Kluyveromyces lactis: one gene and its partners. The main gene of each other region encodes a partner of the protein of the gene in region 2 in a complex. Links are inferred from orthologs where the notes say so. Each region holds a gene or a part of one and is shown on either strand. Other genes may lie near its edges.

Region 1 (2,589 bases), about 700 kb from region 2:
TGAATCAAAATTAAAAGAAGCATTCAGTTCTGAAGGAGATGAAATTCCATCAGTGGTTCACCAGTCAACTGTCCCGAATCTAGACTTGGTCAAGCTTTTAAGCAGTAATGAGCTTCACTCCCAAAAACTAAAAAAATTAAACAATTACAAGGAACAATTAAAAGAATATGACTCCGGACTCCAGAGCTGGATCCAATATGCTTTGAAGTCTTCTACCACATCTGATAAGGATTTTATCTTCAAAGACTACAAAGTCAATAAACATGTTCAAGATGCTTATGCTCAAGCGGATATTTTGAGTAAAAAGAACAGCGTCGCAAATACGGTGAACCAAAATGTTACACATTTGAAGAAGAAGATGTTTTCTAGCAGCATGAGAGAAAAATCTAAGGGGTTATTCTCATCTATAGGTAAAAAATTGTAGTTAAAGGCAAGATCCGAATTGTAGAATGCATTTATGTTTACATGTTATGTGAAGTTTATAATTAATGGTTTAAAAATCAATTCGAAGAGTTTTCAACTCTTGTTTTTCCATGCTTTCTAAGCTCCTTATCCATTAAATCTCTAATTCTGTGAGTGCCTGCTATTCCGATGGCCATGACACTCTCAAGTCTATCCAAAGGCACTTTATCTTCCACCATTAATAAAGATAATTTTTCTGATTTACCAATTGTGCCTATGGTAACACTGCTCATTGCATTTTCCTCAAGCGAGTTAAGGTCTAGTAGTGGTGTAGTATCATAAAGTCCCACTGAAACCCCGCTTACAAAATCATACATTGCGATACCAGCATCTATCAGAGCCAATGTTATTCCATTAAGCATTGCCCCAAGAATCCCACCATCTAACTGTAGAGCATGAACTTGAACGTCAATTGACGTACGAGGATAGAGATGAAGCATCAAGTTCTTTTCAAATGTACGCACTAACGAAGCTTGCCATTCTAAGGTTCTTCTTTCATTCTTATGGCTTGATTTGCTTCTTTCCATCTTGGCAAACTTCGTTAAGTTAATAGTAACGGATAAAGTAGCTTGTTTCGTATTGACTTGTGACCTCGAGGATGGTTCTTGAGGACCAGCAACTAATGTGATAATCTTATTGTTACCTTGTTCCAAGTACGAGGATCCATCTGCAGCATTCGGGTGAGTGTTGATGGAACAGTTGAAACTTCTTAGCTCATTCCAACGACGACCATCGACACGCAATCCCTCTGGAGAATATATTTCAAAACGTGACATTATGTTACTCTGTTAGTTAAAGTGGGTTTTCCTACACGCTAGCTGGAGGGGCTAATTTCAATCTGACAGCCTCTGCTTTGAATGTACTTCTTCTAGTAGATGTCGATGAGCTCATATTTCACTTGTAAGATTCAAAACTTGAATACTTTTTTTTTTTCAAATTCTATTTCAATAATCAGTATGAAGAAAACAGCAGCGAGTGAATCTGACAACGGATATGAAATTGGATGAACGGAATGGAACATCAAAATACTCGTCAGGACTTCGATCGTGGCTTTGAAAATGTCACAGTACGCTACAGTATATGCTAAGTTAAAATTATATATTCTTCTTATGTTGATTGTCTTGGAATGACGTTCTGGATTTGATGTCAGTGATAAAGACACCGAGTAGATAGACGTTGATGAGGAAAAACACTATATTGCCAAAGAATAAGTTGGGGAAAAATACATTTTGGCCTTTGAATTCAAGTAGATATGCTTGTGAAAGCCATACGGCTTGAGACAATATCCATAAAAATATACAGACCACACCTTTTCTCCATGTAATGGTTGTATTTGCGAAATAAAATGGGGATAATACCAAATACCAAATGAAATATTGAGAAGTGCATACTTTATTGAAAGTAACGAATGCGTATGTTTGTACGAATAGGACATTCATTAAATTTTCGAACGTCTGTGATTTCCACAATAGATAAGGTAGTACTGCACATAGTGTCAATTGAGGAACGAATGCCAGCTTAGATAGTTCGATAGATTGGGAAAGATGAATACCAGCAGATTCTAAGAGTAAGACCAGGTTCCAAATCGAAAAATTGTGTCTGTGGTCTGTTCTCGTGAGATGGTACATGTACGAGTGTTCGATAAATTCGCTCCCGTAAAGCTTGTACATGAAATACGTCGGCGCAGTTATGCCGATTAGCGTCGATATCCCTATCATGAACAATCGCCAAATGCAGTTTCTATTGTGACTCGACAACAAGAGATATATTCCGATCGGTAGCGCATAGATTATCGGATAGATCTTGAAATGAATCGATAACCCATAGAAAAGTCCTGAAATAAGTAACCTGTCTCTTTTCAAAAAGTATAAAGCACATATGATCAAAAAACATAAAACCGATTCAGCGTTTCCTCGAGTACTTATCGTTATAACAATCGGGTTCAATAACCAAATAGAAGCTAGAATTAGCTGTTTTGTCAATTGACATGAACCTTGTAATAGTTTTATGATCATCACACCTGTAATGAGATCAAATAAAACAAAGAAGACTTTCCCCATATGAATCCACTTTAGATAATAATTGGGTAGTAACAAGAAGCTCAATAAAGGTGTGTACCTGTATGTA
Region 2 (4,118 bases):
TAATAGGATAGATAAGCTCTTGGAGTCGTACCCGTTTAATTTTTCTGCTCTTTATGTTTGATCAAAGCAGTTCATTGCAGTATGCATTAAAAATTCAATCTCATTATATATACTACTTAGGGCTAAATCTCTTTTAAATGCCATGAGATACCCTTATTTATACACTCTTATAATTCCGCGTAGTAAACAAAATTTGAATATCAACATTCCTTTTTGTCAGTTCCAACATTTTCGAGAACTGTTGGCTAATCTGATGCACTGCACATGACTATAGATGAAGAAATTAGGATAGACTGACTACTGTGAAAAGACTCCTTGCAACTGGAGGATCTTATGGGCAGTCTCAGAAAAGCTCAAGTTATCCAATCTGTGTCTCAATGCCTAGGCAGAAGTAGCTATTTCTAAGGAAAAAAACTATTACGCAAACGAATTAGTGAGCGAAATTAACCTGTAAATATGACTAGTTCGATATTTATACCATTAGAGCTGCTCAAGATGCTCTATCTTTTGAATGAGACGTTCTTACCCTTGGCAGGTTTTGATTTTTTCTTGATAGGCTGTGGACCGACATGTTCAACAGAGTAAGGATCGAATCTTCTTTTTTTATGCTTCTGTGAGTTTGTATTATTCTTTGTTGAGTTCAATAGGTCGGAGCCAGCAGCATAATCCATAATCTCATGACTTGCAGGTGGACTGATAGTCTTTCGTTTGTTGTTAGATTGAGATTGTCTTTTGCGCAACGTAATTACTTCATCCTTGTTCTCTTCAATCTCTTCCTGAGAAGGATCAGACGTGATGACTTCATTTCTGTTTTCATCGTTAGATACTTGCGTAGGAGCTTCATCCTCATTTGACGGTAGCACAATACTCTGAGCTTGTCGGTCAGTGTATTCTTGTTCTAACGTCCTTGTTATTTCATGCTGACGCTTTAATAATTCATGTTGTGGAATGAGCGTTCTCGTCTTTGGTGTATATCTGACGGCAGTATTCACATCCAAGTTTGAAATACCATTGAATAGGACAGATTTCTCTGAATTTTGTTCGTTATTCAGCTTTTGAGAGTTTATTTCCGAAGCAAGTGAATGAAATATATTCTGAATGGATTTAATTTGGGACGTTGTTATTATATTGGCCAGATCGGTGCCGTTACTTTCGGCCGATTCCAAAAGTGGGATCGCAGAAGAGTTGGAATTTCCTTTGAGATCCTCTAAAGTTCTTTTGATCAAGTTTGCAATGACCTTCGAATTTGTTCTTAAATGCTCTGAAACGTATGAGCTGACAGACAATACGTTAATGGGTTCGGTTGGTGCACCAGCCACCAACGATACAAGTAGTTGGTTTGGCATCACGTAACGAGGAGATTCATCATCCCTCCTGGCGATTGTATCTCTCCATTCATAAAGTCTACGGAGAAGTAATTCCTTTGAAGCCGGAATATTGTACTGAAACATAATATTCTTCCAAGGTTCATCCTTTTCAATAGGTGAAAACACTGCTGAAGACGGAACCTTTGGTCTGAAACTACTATATTCAAATCTTCTTTTAGCCACTTTTCTCGATTCATGCAAAACATCGGACATCTTATTCTGTTCCAGTAGAGAGTTCCTTAATTTATCGAAAATATTTAGGAGAAAATGCGTATCAGCTCTTGCATATGCAAGCATAGGCTTGGTCAACGGTCTGATTCTCCAGTCTGCCAGTTGATATTTTTTTGAAGTCTTGAAATTAGCAAATCTTTCGAGAAGATAGGCCAGACTGTGTTTTGGAAAACCTAACATCCTGGAGGCATGATAAGTATCAAAAAGGCCAACAATATATAAGCCTAAATCACGTTGAAGCCATATGATATCCATGAATGCACCGTGCAGAACTTTAGTAACATTAGGGTCGGTAAAGATATCATTCAATATGTAAAGTTCCTCTCTCAATGCAATAGTATCTACAATCCAATCATGCTCCCGGTCACTAATTTGCATCAAACAAACTATACCATAGTAAGACCTATAATCATGATGTTCTAAATCGATTGCTAATTCTGTGGCTTTACTTAATTCATCTTTCATTTTGTTAAGGCCTTCAACGGTGTCAACCCAAATTGCTTCAGTTTCATCCCAGTCCTTTGATGGGATCGGTTCTGTTGCAACAAGAATGGAGTCATTGTATTTTTGGTGGTCGATCTCATATTCGTATGGATGTGGGTAATGGGACGGGATGGATTCCTCTTCTGGGACCATCTTCAATGAAATTTCGAACGGTTGTAAACTATGGGGTTTGTATTCCAATAATGGCTTGAAAGGATGAAGTTCTGTGTTATCTACAGGAGTTTTAAAACTTAGTTGAGGTTTTTCAATCCTCTTGGATGGTTTATTGTTCGAACGATCATCATCATTTAGATACTTAAGTGATGGACCTCCAGCGTTTCCACCATTTCCGGCTCTAATGTTGTCAAGTGCATGATCAGACTTTTCAAATAAATTATCCATAATATTACTTATGGATTTCCAAGAATCCACAAAACTGTCTTTCCCTTGCTGAATTACATCATTATTGGGATCAATAGACAAAAGCAAGTCGTTGATTAACGATAAAATGTTCGTAGAAGTGTCTTCTAATGATGCATTAATGTTGGAATCTAAACTTTTGTAGAAATCGATATCCTGTGCAGCCAATGCACTCGATGATCTCACAGTTTGAACCAAACTGGAAAGTAACGTATCCTTATCCTCTGAAGACATGGTGGATTAGAGTCAGCTGGTAGTCTACGGGGGATTCAAAACGGGGCGAATCGTACTGCCCTCCAATATATTACTGTCTTTGACTACCAGATGAGATGAGATGAAGAAATATTCACTAATCAAAAGAAATCAGAAGAATTCAAATCCGGGTAAAATTTAGATGTTCTCTGCTACTGATGAAAATGATTCATTCAAAGAGTCGGTAGTATTACAGAGAGAGTCAGACCACGTATCACCACCGCCGCCATTGCCTTTCAACGGCTACGTTATAAGTTAATTGGCTACTAGAGAACTAACTATATAATCTTGCATAACTTCTGCTTCCTCTACGATGTACGGATTTTTTTTCAACTAATGTTGCAGCATCTCTCATCTCAATATTATAAAATGACGCTAGAAGCAGACAGCATCAGCTGCTCCATTTTATGGCAACCAATTAAGTATAGCTATATAGGGCGGCTAACCTGTAAGAGTAAAGATGGCACAATTGAAGGAAAGTAATGCAAAATCCTGAAACATTTAAGTAGTGAAACTATACTTTAATACTACATGCTTTTTCATTGTAATCTTGGGTAGTGATTCAATAACTTAAAAGTGGGTCAATTAATGTCTAATTTCCGTCTAGACATTATGAAGTGAATATTGATGAGTATTGCTGCGATGAAAAGAACATCAACAAAAATGGGAAACCATTTCAGTATCGTAAAAGACTCATAACACATTTTGCCAACCATCTTCACAAATTCAGCGAAAGATAAATTGAATCCGAAGTTGATTCCATCCTGGCAATGAAATAAATTAAAGGAAGGTCAACTATTGAAATGACTTGAAAGCTTTTTGCCGTTGCGTAGCAAAGTGCTCTTTCTATCCATATTGGTCGGATCATCCTCCTTCATATTTCTCTTTTGTGGAATGGTGATCGGAGGAGAATCACTATTCTCATTAACAGAAGTTTCTCGGGAACGAGTTTTCCGGTGTTCACTCAGATTAAAGCTATCGCCCTCGGTTATAGATGGTGAAACGATCCTGCCCGTAGTGGATATAATGTTTGTGTTTAATCTACCATTTCCTTTATCTTTAAGATTGTTCTTGATTGTTGTACTAGGCGGTACCAAGGTGCCACCAATGCCAGGATTCATTGGATCGACCATTTTGAAGAAGTATGTGGAAGTTTTATCCGGTGAGTTCAATGGATTTCCAACGAGTTGAACAATCTTCCTGTAATAATTCTGTAAAACATTGAAACCATTGTCGGGACCTCTCTGTGAAGCGTTTTTCATGGGTATCAGCATATTGGAGCCCAATTTTTGTTCAATCTTACAATTTTCGATATTATCATCTCTTGGGATAATTCTGTATCTGACTCGTTCCAAAAACTCATTC
Region 3 (2,422 bases), on a different chromosome or scaffold from region 2:
TCTTCAGCAAACTCTACGTCGCCACTCAGACCGCCAGAACCCCCTGTATTAGCACCAGCACCAGCACCGGCATTATTATTACCAGAATTGCTGTTCAACTGTCTCTCACCACCATGTTCAAAGAATAACGAGATGGCTGTTTCCAAATTGCCTCCGGCCATCTCAAGGAAATGTCTTGACAATTCATCGTTATCTGTACCGCAAACACCTTGGAAAGTTGAAATATCCTCGTCAGATATCATGGCTATTGAAATGTACTTCTTTTAATCCTTTTACTGGTCTCTGTAACTCTCTGTTGCCACTTGAAACCTGTATCTTTGGTTAATTCTTGTTCACGTTTGCCAACTGGAATTTCCTTCTTTTTGTTTCCCAATTTTAGTGTATTTATACTATACAACTTGTTATGTCAGTGAAAAATGCGATGCTAATTATTAATATAGAATGCCAGAATAAGACCCAGGAATACATGGATGAACATGCCAGGACATATTTCAGATGAATTATTTCTTCGATACTTTACCAGATTGTTTTTGCTGTTTTGATTTCTTTGTTCCGTCTACTACTCGATTTGCCAGTCCATCCTTATCAGTGCTGGTGGTGGAAGCCTCTGTCGAAAACTTAGTATGTTTCCCCTGAAAGTTGACTTTACTGATAGCAGGTTCCATTTTGCCACCTCCCAACGCAGATTGTAGAACTCTTTTTGCTTGTTCTTCTTGCTCCACCTCATCCTTCTCTTCAGATTCTTTCTTAGCTTCTAACTGTTTAGATTTATCCATATATGACTTACACCTTGCCAATTCGGCCATGATAGGTGACAGGTCTTTGATATTGAGGACTTTCATGTATGAAAAGCATAGTGAACTCAATACATATGCGTATTTGTTTGAAAGATCAAGTTTCTTCTTTTCATCTTGCAGAAGCAACAGTTGTTCGTCCAATGACTTGCTCGTTAGTTTGTTAATCTCACCACTGAGTTGTTCCACCTGTTTATTGAGATACGAGATGTATGGTTTAATTTTCTTAGTATCTTCCATGCTGGTAGTTGTATGTGGTCCGTGTTCTTGTCGTTGTCGACTGAGGCAGCGATGAGATGAGATGAGATGAGATGAGATGAAGCTGTATAATACCGAGATGAAGTATTCTTCACTGAATCAAAATTTTCGATCAATAACATAATACTGCGAATTTTTCGCAATGGAACAAAACGCATAATAATCTGCGTGCGTTTCGCACGTAGAAGTACTTCAGTAATATTTCTATTTCTTTATCCAGCGAAAATTCCATATTTGCCTGCCAAAAAAAAAAAAAAAAACGCAAGACATTACACACATTCATACCACATATATGGAGAACCTGTACTCAATACAGGGCGAGTAGTCCTATTTGGACTGTTGAAGTAACATCCACCCTCCGCCAGTATACTTAATTTCAACACTGGCCTAGCTCAAGAAGTACTTTAGTTTGTTTCTCGTCAGCATAGATAATGGTCGCTGATGACTTATCGAATATAGAGACACAGCTACGACAGGTTCGTGAGAAATATCGTGAGCAAGCACACTCGCTCTCGCCAAGCGATGCAGAATCATGGTCAACCTTGGCATCAAATTTGCAGAAAGTCGTCACAGAAATGGATCAGCTTTTGCAGCGGAACTCTAAACAGATGAACGTATCCTTCCTATTGAACCACGAGTCATCATCGCTTCAGGCTGGAATACAGCCACCGCAACCGCTTCTACAGAACCTATACCAAAAGAACGGGAACGACGAACAGCAGAACCATCTCAAAGTCAAACTCGATAGAACTGCGTTCTATTCGGAAAATTCCCCCTTCCAACATCAAATGGATCGGTCTGGTTCATTCAGACTCTGTCCACCTTTAGCACATACAAGTGCAGAAGATTACTTCCGCAACGATACGCAAACCCCAATTATGATCTCAGATGGCCAGATCCTGGAGAACTTGGCCAATCTTAAACGTCTCACTGAGATGCAACGCCAATAGGTGGATGTAATCTTCGTTTTCGTTTGAGATTCGACACATCACATATATGATCCATCTTTTATTTGAGTCATGCGAACGTTTTTGACCAATTATACACATATACACATATAATATGTATAGTAAAAGATAAAGCTGTAATGATACACTATAAAATATCTGTTGGCACCAGTTGCAGAACCATAGAGGTTCAATACCCAACGCAATTCTATCTCTTTGGTATATGTTTTCTCTTAAATCTGTCGAATTTGTCGCTCTTTGAGGGGGAAACAAAATTCGAAAAACATTAAAATAACTAACTAGCAAGTAAACATCAACATCAATAAAGTATCAAGACAAACAACGACACTAGGAAAGCTCTACACGCAATCTGACAACGGCTGTAGTGGAAAATCAATAGAAGAATTACATTGCTCTAAGTTA
Region 4 (3,147 bases), on a different chromosome or scaffold from region 2:
TGTAAAATCTTTGAAGAATTTTGCTGAATTGTTGAAACCTGGCGGTAGAATCATTCTCTTGGAACACGGAAGAGGTTCATACGATACAATCAACAAAATTCTTGACGATAGAGCTGAGAAACGTTTAAAGACATGGGGTTGTAGATGGAACTTGGATATCGGAGAAATCCTTGACGATTCTGGATTGGATGTCGTCGAAGAAAGAAGAACACATTTCGGTACGACATGGTGTATTGTTGCCAAGCGTAAAGGTGACGGTAAGAAGAAAGAAGAAATTGGCTTCTTTGAAAAGTATCTTGGTGCTAGTGTTAAGAGCAGAATTGAATCTTTCACAAACGATGGAAAGAAGCAAGACTCGCTACAAGCTACCCATAATAAACCAACATCTGAGACATCCAAATGATGGTACTCTTATCGAAAAGATTTTATTATTTGTAAATATTATGCACTTTATTTATAAAATACTACTTCATGTAAATATTAATATTACCGATTACAACCTATGCTGCTCCCCTCATCTTCTCTGAGTTGATGACGTCTTGACCTAAGGACTCCATCGTCTCCGATTCAATTAACTGTCCCAAGTTACCATAAGCCATTGAAGCCTCATATGCGGATATTATTCTTGGCTCAGTGATACCGAGTTCGCAATGTGCTAACGCCTTAATTACGTTTGCATATCTTGTGATTGTTTGCCTAACGCTTACAGTAACAGTATCATTTTTATCCGAATATATTTCCCAAGAACTCTCTTCTTCCAATCTTGTAATGGAAACCGACATTGCATTGTTGGATCCTGGTAAATGGTCAGATTGTCCTGAACCTGTAGTAGTGGTCTTACCGGAAAGATCCATCTTGGAGGATTTCCTTATCCATACGAACCCATTTACACCCAAGATAATGGTGACATTCCCTGGAAGATTATGTGTATGATTTTTAGATCTCACTATTAGGGAACTTGGGACTTGAACAAACGTACCATTCCTTAGTTTCCCATATTTCAACGATCTGGTATGTAATGAAGCTGAACCGTCTTGGAACAACGATTGGACTTCAGCGTTTAGTAGATCACCTTCTTTCAAGAAGTTTCTCATTTGCAACTCATCTGTCTCTGACTTACGTCTCAATACACCACCTGGTAAATTAACAGAACCCAACATCAAAACCGCATACTGTTTGGCTCCAATATCCACTTTCCACCTTCTATTACCAACATCAGTGATTCTACCCACGATGTGGTCACCTGTTTCGGGAATATAACGAGATTTTAATGGTAAAACGGATAGCAATCTATTCACTCTCGATACTGTGCCAACCACAGAACTGTATGTCTTGTTTTCCAAGAAATAAGTACCATGACCCTTCATCCATATAGGATCATCGGTTATTAATTCACCAGGTGTGACAATAGACCCATCCTGATGGTCTATTCCACCATTGGAATCGTGAGCACCGCTCATCTCAATGTCATGTTCTTGCTCTGAACCTGAGCTGGAATCTGATTCATATTCATCCTGTTCTAAACGGCCATTAGACCAAAATTCGTTCCTATTGATAACACTAATAACATCACTCATTGTTCCAAGTAATGATATAACGATGTCAGGGACTGCAGAAGGCGTTCGATGTGCTGACTTCCTCGCTGTACCTTTGTTACTTTTGGTGTTAGTTAACTGAAAATTTTCCAAATTAAATAAGAGAGCGATGAGATGAGATGAGATGAGCGTTGTAAAAGATGTAAAAATGTTGCAGCAAAGATCGACCGTCAGGCAGCGTTTTATTTGGTGAAGTGATAGCACACTATTTTGCTCCATTTTTCAAGGATAGAGGAGGACTAGTTTTATGAGGTTTGGCCTAGTGCTTCGAAGAACAATGAGTAGAGCTATTGAAACTACGTTCAAATATGAACCACCAGTGCATCGTGGCATGAAACAATTAGATAAATCATTATTCGTAAAGAAGCTTCCTGTTGTTGTATTGCTATTGAAGAATCCAAAGAATATTTCTGTCTTCACCAAGAAGTTCAAGGACGATATATTAAGGACACCAAGAATTCCATTCGTTATAAGACTTGGCGAAACACCAAAAGAAGATACTGATAAGAACGATGTCGAGCCAGTACAGAAGAAAAGCAAATCCCTGGCCAATGACAACCATATAACCAAAGGTATCATACTAAAAGACAGTATACAAGATGTTTCGCAGGCGAGAGGGAAGTTGACCTCCAATGCACTAGAATTTCTTGATGAGCAAGAGTATGAGTTGAGAAACCATGAGTATGTGCTAGATTATGACTTCTGGAAAGTGGAAGAGATTCTAAATGCAATTTTACCAGAGGAGTACCTTGCTGAGATTCCTACTGGGTTCACTATTGTGGGACACGTAGCTCATTTGAATTTAAGGAAAGAGTTCAAACCGTTTGGTGAAATAATTGGACAAGTCATCTTGGACAAGAATTCGACGATCAAGACCGTGGTCGATAAAGTGGATTCCATTGCTACCAAATTCAGAACTTTCGAAATGAACGTCCTAGCGGGTGAACCGAACCTGCTAGTGACTCAAAGGGAATCTGATTGTTCATTCACTTTCGATTTCAGTAAAGTGTACTGGAACTCAAGACTACATACAGAACATGCAAGGTTAGTGAGTCTATTCAAACCGGGCCAAATAGTTGGTGATGTGTTTGCTGGGGTGGGGCCATTCTCAGTTCCAGCAGGAAAGAAGAAGGTCATCGTTCTAAGTAACGATTTGAACCCAGAATCTTACAAGTACATGCAGCAAAATATCATCGACAATAAGGTGGGTAACTTCGTTGAACCATTGAACCTCGATGGCCGCGAATTCATCAGAGATAGTCCCAAGCTACTACAACAATTCATCGAAAGGGTACAGGGAGTCATCACGGTGCCAGGAGGTAAGAAGTACAAGGATAAAGTCACGGGAGAAACTAAACGTACTCCTGAAACCAAGATCCCAATCAAAAACCAGTTCTTCGATCACTACGTGATGAACTTACCTGACAGTGCTCTTCAATTCCTTGATGAATTCGTCGGATTATATTCAAGGTACGGGTTCACATACGAACAGATGGTTCAAGAACACGGCGAACAGTTCCAAACCCCATGGATCCATTGTCATTGTTTCCAT
Region 5 (2,562 bases), on a different chromosome or scaffold from region 2:
TGTACAGTAACATACTGGGCTAATTCGAAGAACATTTTGGCGGCAGAAGAGCGGTACTTGAATTCTGCACCAGAGACACAAATTTCTATTGACAAACACATGATGATGTTGGATGAACGAGATTTGTATCCCGAACTTAATTCACGAAACGGATTCGAATTTGAAAAGAACGACTTGAACAGATATCCAAATTTAATACATATTGTAAAGTTTAACGCTCGGGAAGAATCAGTGACTTCCTCAACAGAAAGAGACATGACCAGACTTTATATTTGATTCACTATCGCTAAGATATTCACAGCATACACTCTCATATATCCACCAAACAGATACATTATTTGTATATTCATACATACAACATATAGTACAGAACAATATCAAACGCGCTGAACGGCATGGATTAAACGACTTCTAGCTGCCAAGTGTCTTGGGATATGGTACAACCATAAGCATTAATCTATAATTGAAGAAAAGCTTCCAGTTCTTCGATACAATGCTCCTTAAGTTTCACGAGCATTTTCAGAGCTCAAAATGTGTGCGTATTGGTTTCTTGCAATGGTATCTTGTTTCACAACACGATGAATTTGATCAGTGATTTTTTCTACAATTCCGTATGCTTTATGACAACAATCAATCAACGACAAAGCTTCCATCGGCAAACCACCTGCTTTGGAGATTTGAACAACTTCTCTGTTTTTATTAAGCGTCACAGTAAGCACACCATCTCTCAATAGCTCCTCTTTTAAGGAAGCATCGATGATTGATATTTCTGCATTGTCCTCACCTTTGATATTTTCTTCTGTATCGTCTGGATTGAAGAATGAAAACGTCACACAAATTGGAACATGCAAAACACCTAGTGACACAGGTTCTCTTTCATCAATCGGATGTACCGTCACTCTTTCACCAAGAACAGTAACGTCGGGCTTCTTAAAATGAAGTAACCCAGCCATTACAGCAATGCAACTGGCATCGATTAGTCCACCATCACAATCTAAAAAGTGAACATCAGCTCTAAGAGACCAACATTTGGAGCCAGCTATTATGCATAAACCTTCTACATCTAATGCTCCTGATCGTCTTACAGCTTTCTCAATCATCCTACTGATCAATACCTCTTCTTCTCCAGTATTGTTCCCATTCTCAAACTGAGCACCTGCCATCGGTGTAGTTTCGGTACTTATATGGAAAAGTCCTTCAAACGGTCTATCTTCATAAGGTTGTGCAATTTCACAGCTGATACGACAGTGTACCTTTGTGTTACCCATGGTAACAGTCACATCACCGTATGCTTCACCTATTTCGATCTTCACATCTCTGAATTGGTCATATGAACGTCCATCTAATCTTTGTTTAAGCTTTAACGCTTCCAGGATAAATTTGGATTCAGCATTACTGATCTCTATATCTTTTGCCATCACCTCTTATCGATTTAACTATTTTGATATGCGAATGCAAGCTCTCTTCGGCTATGGTTTTCTCTTTCAGTGCTGCTCATCGCAACTCTTTAACTTTTCAAGTGTTATAGTTCTAAATCTTTCATAAGCTTTGTCTCATTTGATATGATAGAAAGATGAAAAAGGAATAAAAACAAAATTGATGCGAGTTTCTCTAGGAGGAAGACCCTGTAGACAGGTATTAAGTGGAAGAAGATCAATTATTTTAGAGCTCAACAACGGCATGTTATGTGAAGCTTTAGGTCAAAATGATAGAGGTTATCCAATACTGATATTTCTACGAAATTATTATATGCCCTTACTTATGTTTTGTTAGTTTTGAAGAATCCGTCAATTCTTCCTTTACCCTTAGCAACCTTTGGTTTCACAACTTTAGCCTTTTGAATAGGTTGTTTCTTTACGGTTTTTGTGCCATTTGGAATGGCTGTAGACATAGCAGCTTTGATAAGGAGCTCTCTTTCCCTTTCTGTTTGTAATGTTTCGTTCTTGTACTTGTCGTATGAGTCGAAACATTGTTTGATGTTAAGATTTGAAGATTCATGTCTAATTAGATCCTGGTATGCGAGTTGTGGGATCAAGGAAACTAGAAGATTACACGACATTATGCATTTCAGAGATGATGCTATATCTTCAGGTAGCGATTTTGGTATTTTAAGAGAAGTAGGGAAGTTGTTGTTGATTTTGATGACTTTCTTCAGTAGCCATTCTACTATCATTTGAGGTTCGATACGATAATACTTGTCACCAGCTTCTTCCACTGTATGTGATATTTTCCCGAGACAACTTTCCCATAATTTTGGAGGTATCTTCTCCCAATTTTCACTGTGATTATTCGTTAATTTCTCTTGGTAATCAGAACTAGTATAAAAGTTAGTATCCATATCGAGTGCGGGTGGAACGCAAGGTGTAATAAACGCTAGATCCTCACTAGTAACTTTGTTGTTCCTATAATAATACCCACATATATTAAAAGTTAAGTCATATTTTTCGGCATATAGTATCGAACCATCTTCTAGTATGTGTCCATCTTTCCTGTTCTCTTCATTGATCAAAAATGTGGATTTAAATGTTTGCGAATCTGAAGTATAATGATATTTATCATTCA
Region 6 (2,673 bases), on a different chromosome or scaffold from region 2:
AGCTTCATTAGTGGATAAAGCACCCAATCTCGGAGGTATTTGTAGACTCTGTGACGTGTTGGGTGTCGGTACTATGACAATTCATGATATTAGAGTCAAACAGCATCCTCAATTCAAAAATGTTGCGGTTACAGCGGACCGCTGGATGCCTATTGAAGAAGTTCCTGTCGATGGTATAATATCTTACATGAATGCAAAGAAGTTGGAAGGATATACGTTAATTGGATTGGAGCAGACTGATTCTTCCATTCAACTGAATTCTGAATTTAAATTTCCATCAAAATCTGTCATTTTACTAGGAACAGAAGCTCATGGTATTCCAGGGCATTTGTTAAAGGAGTTGGATTTATGCTTAGAAATCAAACAATCTGGGGTAATAAGATCCATGAATATCCAAACTGCAACAGCTGTTATCGTTCATTCGTACTCGATCCAGCATTTATAGATATGCATTTATAATAAACACCCTGAAAAGTACCTATTTACTATTTAAATGTTCCTTAATCTGAAGCATCCAAAGCTTTTTCAATATGTGGTGCGTATTGACGAATTAACTTGAACGCTTGTTCTAAATGATGCTGACTGAACCCTTTGATATTATCGTTATTCAAGCCAACAGATCTTATCGGAGAAGTAACCTTATCTTTGTACCACGTAATTAGAAGGCCATTGTTCGATACTATGCTCTCTTCAAAAGTTGGATCCACAAAAACACCGTCTCCTACAATTGCGAACGTAAACAATAAAGGAGCATCTGCCTCTAGCTTAACCATATCGTAATCATGGAATGTGGGTAGCTCCTCCACTTCTAAGTCATCGTCGTTCGATATTAGTTTCGGTAGCCATGTGTTTTTCAAAGCGCTGAAAATGGCGAAAGATATCATTGAGATCGGGTATGATTTGGAGGCAAGCACCAAAACGTCAATGTAAAGTTTGAAACTGTACCTTTTCGTGAGCATTAGCTTTTTCTGATCAATAGTTTGTTTGAGCAATTTGGATAATAGTGAAGACATGCTGGTAACCAATGGAGAGTCATCTCTGTGGCCTTGGATGTCGACATCAGCAACAAGCAATTCTTGTTCTACCGTATGGTCCACGACTTTAGTTTTTACACTCACTATACACTCGCTTCCTCCGCTTAATATCACACGGCTGGATCCATTAGAATTGGGAAGGAAATCAGTAGATACTTCCAATGGTCTAAATTGATGTGGACCTCTTCCATCCGGTCTTAATGGGGGATCTAATGTTAGAGAATCGTATAGGAACGATTTTTCAGTTAACGAAAGTCCCATTATCTTCTTATATTATTTGATTTTTTTTTTAACGAGATGGGTCTGCTTCGTGAGAAGATAACTCGCTTTAAACTCAGATGTTTCTATTGCTGTTGATAGAAGGGAAATAAGCCTTTTCTCATCATCTCATTGCATCTCATCTCAAGCTCATATAAGTCAATACTGAAATTAGTTCAGATTTTTCATTTCTTCTTTTCGCTAATGCACATTAATATTCGGTGTTACCCGGATATAATTGGCCATTAGTGAGATGTTCTGTCAGGTGTCAGTCACGGTTCGAAGTACTAACATACGATGAATGCTGACTGACTGATATTGAAGTTGTACTGATACAGGGTGCTGATGTTTAATATATATACAAATACATCAACTGTTTTATGGACATAATTATTCCTTATCTTTTGATTTTATTTTTGTTCTTGGTCGGTTGCCCTTTGCTAACGATTCTATACAGTAAGATTGGAAATACCAGCAAATGACATACTCCAATGATGCAGAATAATATTGTGACTTTTGCCAGTAGATAAGAGAACGTTGATTCGTTGAGATTTCTATGATCGACATCTAAAGCATGCAATTCCTGGCCAGAATCCGCACTGACCAACGAAAACAGGTCATCTCTACCCTGGGATAACAAATTGAGATCATCATCAGTAATCAAATCCCACTTCTGTTTCTGAATCAGATCATTAGACGTGATGCTAATTGCTACTTGCTTCACACTATCTATGGCATTCCATGAGGAGTCTAATGAAAAGTTGATAAGGCATATTTGGAAATTCTGATGTTCGTATACGCTCACGTAAAGCACAGTTTCCCCATTCTCTAAACCATGTCTTGACTGTACCAAATTTTGGTCTTCGTCATAAATATCCATGTTGACAACCTGTTTTCCCTTTGAACTCGTAGTTGGACCAAACCTATCCACATTAACTTTCCATTTAGTAAATTCTTCAATTTCAATGAGGAATTGTAAATCCTTGGCCTTAATATTCGTATTCATTTCGAAACAAGTTTGATAACTAGACGCGTCACTCGAGCCGTCAACTTCCCATTTTTTATATGGCCACAAATCGAATTCTAATCGATTTGGGTTTATCGGCAGTTTAAGGGTCTCCGAGACAACTGAACATATCAGTAAAAGGACATATATCAACGATATCACCATTTAAACAAAAAGAACAAAAAAATTACTAGCTGGAACGAAATGAACTGGGTATAATAACAAACGAAAAGACCACAATCTAATTACTGAAGCGAAAGCTGTGGATTAGACCCAAAAAAAAAATTTTGTCTGGCCGAATAAGAACACAAAAAGATATTGACAACACGTATGAAGCACTGAGAAACAACCTTAAAGGGAAAAAAAGAATTGTTT
Region 7 (2,398 bases), about 1.2 Mb from region 2:
ATTCTATCGTCTCTTTGATTAAGGCAATCGATGAAGTTTCCGTTGTGAAATCTGCTGCTGATATCCCACAAGGTTGTGTGCTACAATCTGTCAACCCAGAAGTTAACGTGCATGTGCTTGTGAAGGGTCACGTCGATATCGATGCAGAAATCTCCAAGGTCCAAAAGAAGCTAGACAAGACTTTGAAGTCTAAATCTGCCATTGATAAGATTGTCAACAGCAGCGATTATGAACAAAAGGCCAATGACCAAGTGAAGCAATTCAACAAAGAAAGATCAGAGCACGCTGCCGCTGAAATCGAAACCTTGGAAGCTACCATCGCTAACTTGGAAGCATTGAAGTTGTAGAATTGTTTTGTTATTTGTCCAATAGATTAGATTACTCTCTCTGCCGCTGCTAATGCGAATTATATAAATGCAAATATATATAAATTGTATATAAAGATGATAACGTTAATTATAAAGTTAATTTATAAAGAACCATGGGTGCAGGTATACCCACTACTGTCTCCAGACGAAATCTTTGGCGACTTTATCCTTGATCACTGATCTCAACTCTGTGTATAACCGTATACACTCTTTCTCACCTGTTTCTAACACTTTAAACAACTGTGACTCGTCAAAGCTGCCTAAACTATCAAGAAGAAGCAGGTTCCTGACATCTATATCCCCGTTCTCATTCGTGCCCAGCTCTAGACAGTATACGTGGACCGATTCACATTTAGCTAGCTGCGATTCTGTTGGGTTCACCACCAGCTGCTTCCCTTCAGTGGTAATACCAATACAAGTACCAGAACACATACTGAGTAACGGTACACCAGCATCCACCAATGCGAGCACCGCTGCGTTAACACATACACTGACTTCTTTCACAGTATAATCCCTGCTTTCTCCCGCTTCTAATACTTGGAGACATATCTGCACAAATTGACGTGGATGCAAGTATCTCGCAAGCACTGGGGTCAACACAGAACGGATCTGATCTTCCATTAACTTTTCCCTCGTACTCTGTACGCCTTCAGCAGGCTTCACGATGATCTCTAATGCAAGTTGTGTGGGCAACTCTTGCCTAGACTTAGGTTCCATGGGTCCCGAAACAGAACAGATAACTTTAGTTCCGCTGTTTGAAACAACAGAAGAGCCATCAACATGGCCCAAAACATGCGTCGTAGTCTCCATCTTGGCTAGAAAATTACTATAGGTACAATATAACAATCAATACGCAGTCGGTATAGACGGTAATGAGCCACTACAGTCCCTCTTTCCCCATCTTTTGAATGTTATGTCAGGATGAGATGAGATGAGCTTCAAATTCAGAAATTTTTCACTTTTAGGATACGCAATGAATAGATATGAAACTAAGAGGTTGGAGATGCAATGCAATTGATGTGCCAGAGACCCTTTTAGCAGGGCATGTATGTGGTAATTTATAAATAAGGAGATTGTGTGTAGGTCTGGCTTCATTTAAGTTCTGAGAAGGGAGCGAGAGACCAGCATTCAGTGAATCTTCAATCCATCAAGAGAGAGGGATTTATTTAATGACGAAGAGAGAATGAACACTGGCATAAGGAAAGACCATCTCAGGAAAGGTGAAACGGTATCATGGTACAATTCAGTGATTGCTGGTTCTGTTTCTGGGGTATTTGCTAGGATGGCAACTGCACCAATGGATACTGTAAAAATACGATATCAGTTACAACCGGTACAAGAGGACAAATATAAGGGAATTGCATCTACTGTGAGAACTATAATGAAAGAAGAAGGACTTCGAGCGTTATGGAAAGGAAACATCCCGGCGACGGCGATGTACGTTGTTTACGGTGCAGTACAATTCGGATCTTACTCGTGGTTCAACAACGTTTGGTCTGCGAAGTTCCCTCGGTTTTCACAGCAGGGACAAACGCTAACGGTCGGAGCGTTGGCAGGAATGACTAGTTCAGTGGTATCTTACCCGCTAGATTTGCTTCGGACAAGACTTATAGCAAACAGAACGAGCCATCGGACCAGTGTCGCAGAGGAGTGCCGACAAATGTGGCTCAATGAAGGTGTACGAGGTTTTTTCACTGGAATATCCACTGCGATGACAACGGTTACTTTATCCACGGCTATCATGTTTCTCACATATGAGACCGTGAATATAGTCTGTGAAAACCACGAGAAAGAATTCTGGTCGCGACCTGTAAGTGCTAGTTCAGGGATCATCGCAGGGTTTGTATCCAAGACGATGGTGTTCCCCATTGACACTTTACGTCGCAGAATGCAAGTGATGAACTCTAAGAGAACAGTTCATTTCACCAAATTCCCTGCTGTTTACCACGAGTACAGGTATAAATCATCCACTGCAATTATTTACAAGATACTAAGACAGGAGGGTGTATCAGCGTTGTACCGAGGACTTA

What was found.
Region 1: RRP6 (region 2) and SKI6 share a complex: the UniProt entries of both Saccharomyces cerevisiae proteins name them as parts of the RNA exosome complex. The link is inferred for Kluyveromyces lactis from reciprocal best matches to the Saccharomyces cerevisiae genes RRP6 and SKI6.
Region 3: the proteins of RRP6 (region 2) and LRP1 are in contact, whole or in part, in a crystal structure (PDB 4WFC), measured with the Saccharomyces cerevisiae proteins. The link is inferred for Kluyveromyces lactis from reciprocal best matches to the Saccharomyces cerevisiae genes RRP6 and LRP1. Residues at the interface, in NP_014643.1 of Saccharomyces cerevisiae: Asp7, Val8, Leu9, Leu10, Arg12, Val13, Ile14, Asn15, Val16, Val17, Ala19, Ala20, Ser21, Ser22, Leu23, Ala24, Gln26, Tyr31, Lys32, Phe38, Asp41, Leu42, Lys43, Lys45, Ala46, Lys48, Leu49, Ala50, Met52, Ala53; in NP_011949.1 of Saccharomyces cerevisiae: Asp3, Ile4, Lys6, Ile7, Tyr10, Val11, Ser13, Phe14, Ser15, Ala17, Leu18, Glu20, Leu21, Lys22, Glu24, Ile25, Glu26, Leu28, Thr29, Lys31, Ser32, Leu33, Asp34, Leu37, Glu43, Arg44, Lys46, Leu47, Ile50, Asn51.
Region 4: RRP6 (region 2) and RRP4 share a complex: the UniProt entries of both Saccharomyces cerevisiae proteins name them as parts of the RNA exosome complex. The link is inferred for Kluyveromyces lactis from reciprocal best matches to the Saccharomyces cerevisiae genes RRP6 and RRP4.
Region 5: RRP6 (region 2) and RRP45 share a complex: the UniProt entries of both Saccharomyces cerevisiae proteins name them as parts of the RNA exosome complex. The link is inferred for Kluyveromyces lactis from reciprocal best matches to the Saccharomyces cerevisiae genes RRP6 and RRP45.
Region 6: RRP6 (region 2) and RRP42 share a complex: the UniProt entries of both Saccharomyces cerevisiae proteins name them as parts of the RNA exosome complex. The link is inferred for Kluyveromyces lactis from reciprocal best matches to the Saccharomyces cerevisiae genes RRP6 and RRP42.
Region 7: RRP6 (region 2) and RRP46 share a complex: the UniProt entries of both Saccharomyces cerevisiae proteins name them as parts of the RNA exosome complex. The link is inferred for Kluyveromyces lactis from reciprocal best matches to the Saccharomyces cerevisiae genes RRP6 and RRP46.

The regions. Positions count from the first base shown.
Region 1 is NC_006040.1:813,273-815,861, forward strand, and holds SKI6 (exosome non-catalytic core subunit SKI6), read right to left. Parts: upstream 1,239-2,589; coding exon 501-1,238; downstream 1-500. Other genes in the region: FYV8 (Fyv8p), read left to right, coding at 1-424; GPI14 (glycosylphosphatidylinositol-alpha 1,4 mannosyltransferase I), read right to left, coding at 1,557-2,589. UniProt on the Saccharomyces cerevisiae protein: Non-catalytic component of the RNA exosome complex which has 3'->5' exoribonuclease activity and participates in a multitude of cellular RNA processing and degradation events.
Region 2 is NC_006040.1:113,330-117,447, reverse strand, and holds RRP6 (exosome nuclease subunit RRP6), read right to left. Parts: upstream 2,736-4,118; coding exon 501-2,735; downstream 1-500. Other genes in the region: PHO80 (Pho80p), read right to left, coding at 3,545-4,118. UniProt on the Saccharomyces cerevisiae protein: Nuclear-specific catalytic component of the RNA exosome complex which has 3'->5' exoribonuclease activity and participates in a multitude of cellular RNA processing and degradation events.
Region 3 is NC_006041.1:1,510,215-1,512,636, reverse strand, and holds LRP1 (Lrp1p), read right to left. Parts: upstream 1,035-2,422; coding exon 501-1,034; downstream 1-500. Other genes in the region: DNA protein crosslink repair co-factor UBX5, read right to left, coding at 1-242; KLLA0_E16985g (uncharacterized protein), read left to right, coding at 1,484-2,002. UniProt on the Saccharomyces cerevisiae protein: Required for exosome-dependent processing of pre-rRNA and small nucleolar RNA (snRNA) precursors. Involved in processing of 35S pre-rRNA at the A0, A1 and A2 sites. Required for activity of RRP6 in 7S pre-rRNA processing.
Region 4 is NC_006041.1:1,129,885-1,133,031, forward strand, and holds RRP4 (exosome non-catalytic core subunit RRP4), read right to left. Parts: upstream 1,815-3,147; coding exon 501-1,814; downstream 1-500. Other genes in the region: OMS1 (putative RNA methyltransferase), read left to right, coding at 1-403; TRM5 (tRNA (guanine) methyltransferase), read left to right, coding at 1,843-3,147. UniProt on the Saccharomyces cerevisiae protein: Non-catalytic component of the RNA exosome complex which has 3'->5' exoribonuclease activity and participates in a multitude of cellular RNA processing and degradation events.
Region 5 is NC_006039.1:952,913-955,474, reverse strand, and holds RRP45 (exosome non-catalytic core subunit RRP45), read right to left. Parts: upstream 1,419-2,562; coding exon 501-1,418; downstream 1-500. Other genes in the region: KLLA0_C11121g (uncharacterized protein), read left to right, coding at 1-276; RNH202 (Rnh202p), read right to left, coding at 1,760-2,562. UniProt on the Saccharomyces cerevisiae protein: Non-catalytic component of the RNA exosome complex which has 3'->5' exoribonuclease activity and participates in a multitude of cellular RNA processing and degradation events.
Region 6 is NC_006041.1:823,844-826,516, forward strand, and holds RRP42 (exosome non-catalytic core subunit RRP42), read right to left. Parts: upstream 1,296-2,673; coding exon 501-1,295; downstream 1-500. Other genes in the region: TRM3 (tRNA (guanosine(18)-2'-O)-methyltransferase), read left to right, coding at 1-445; RRT6 (Rrt6p), read right to left, coding at 1,690-2,463. UniProt on the Saccharomyces cerevisiae protein: Non-catalytic component of the RNA exosome complex which has 3'->5' exoribonuclease activity and participates in a multitude of cellular RNA processing and degradation events.
Region 7 is NC_006040.1:1,266,252-1,268,649, forward strand, and holds RRP46 (exosome non-catalytic core subunit RRP46), read right to left. Parts: upstream 1,179-2,398; coding exon 501-1,178; downstream 1-500. Other genes in the region: VAS1 (valine--tRNA ligase), read left to right, coding at 1-347; thiamine transporter TPC1, read left to right, coding at 1,552-2,398. UniProt on the Saccharomyces cerevisiae protein: Non-catalytic component of the RNA exosome complex which has 3'->5' exoribonuclease activity and participates in a multitude of cellular RNA processing and degradation events.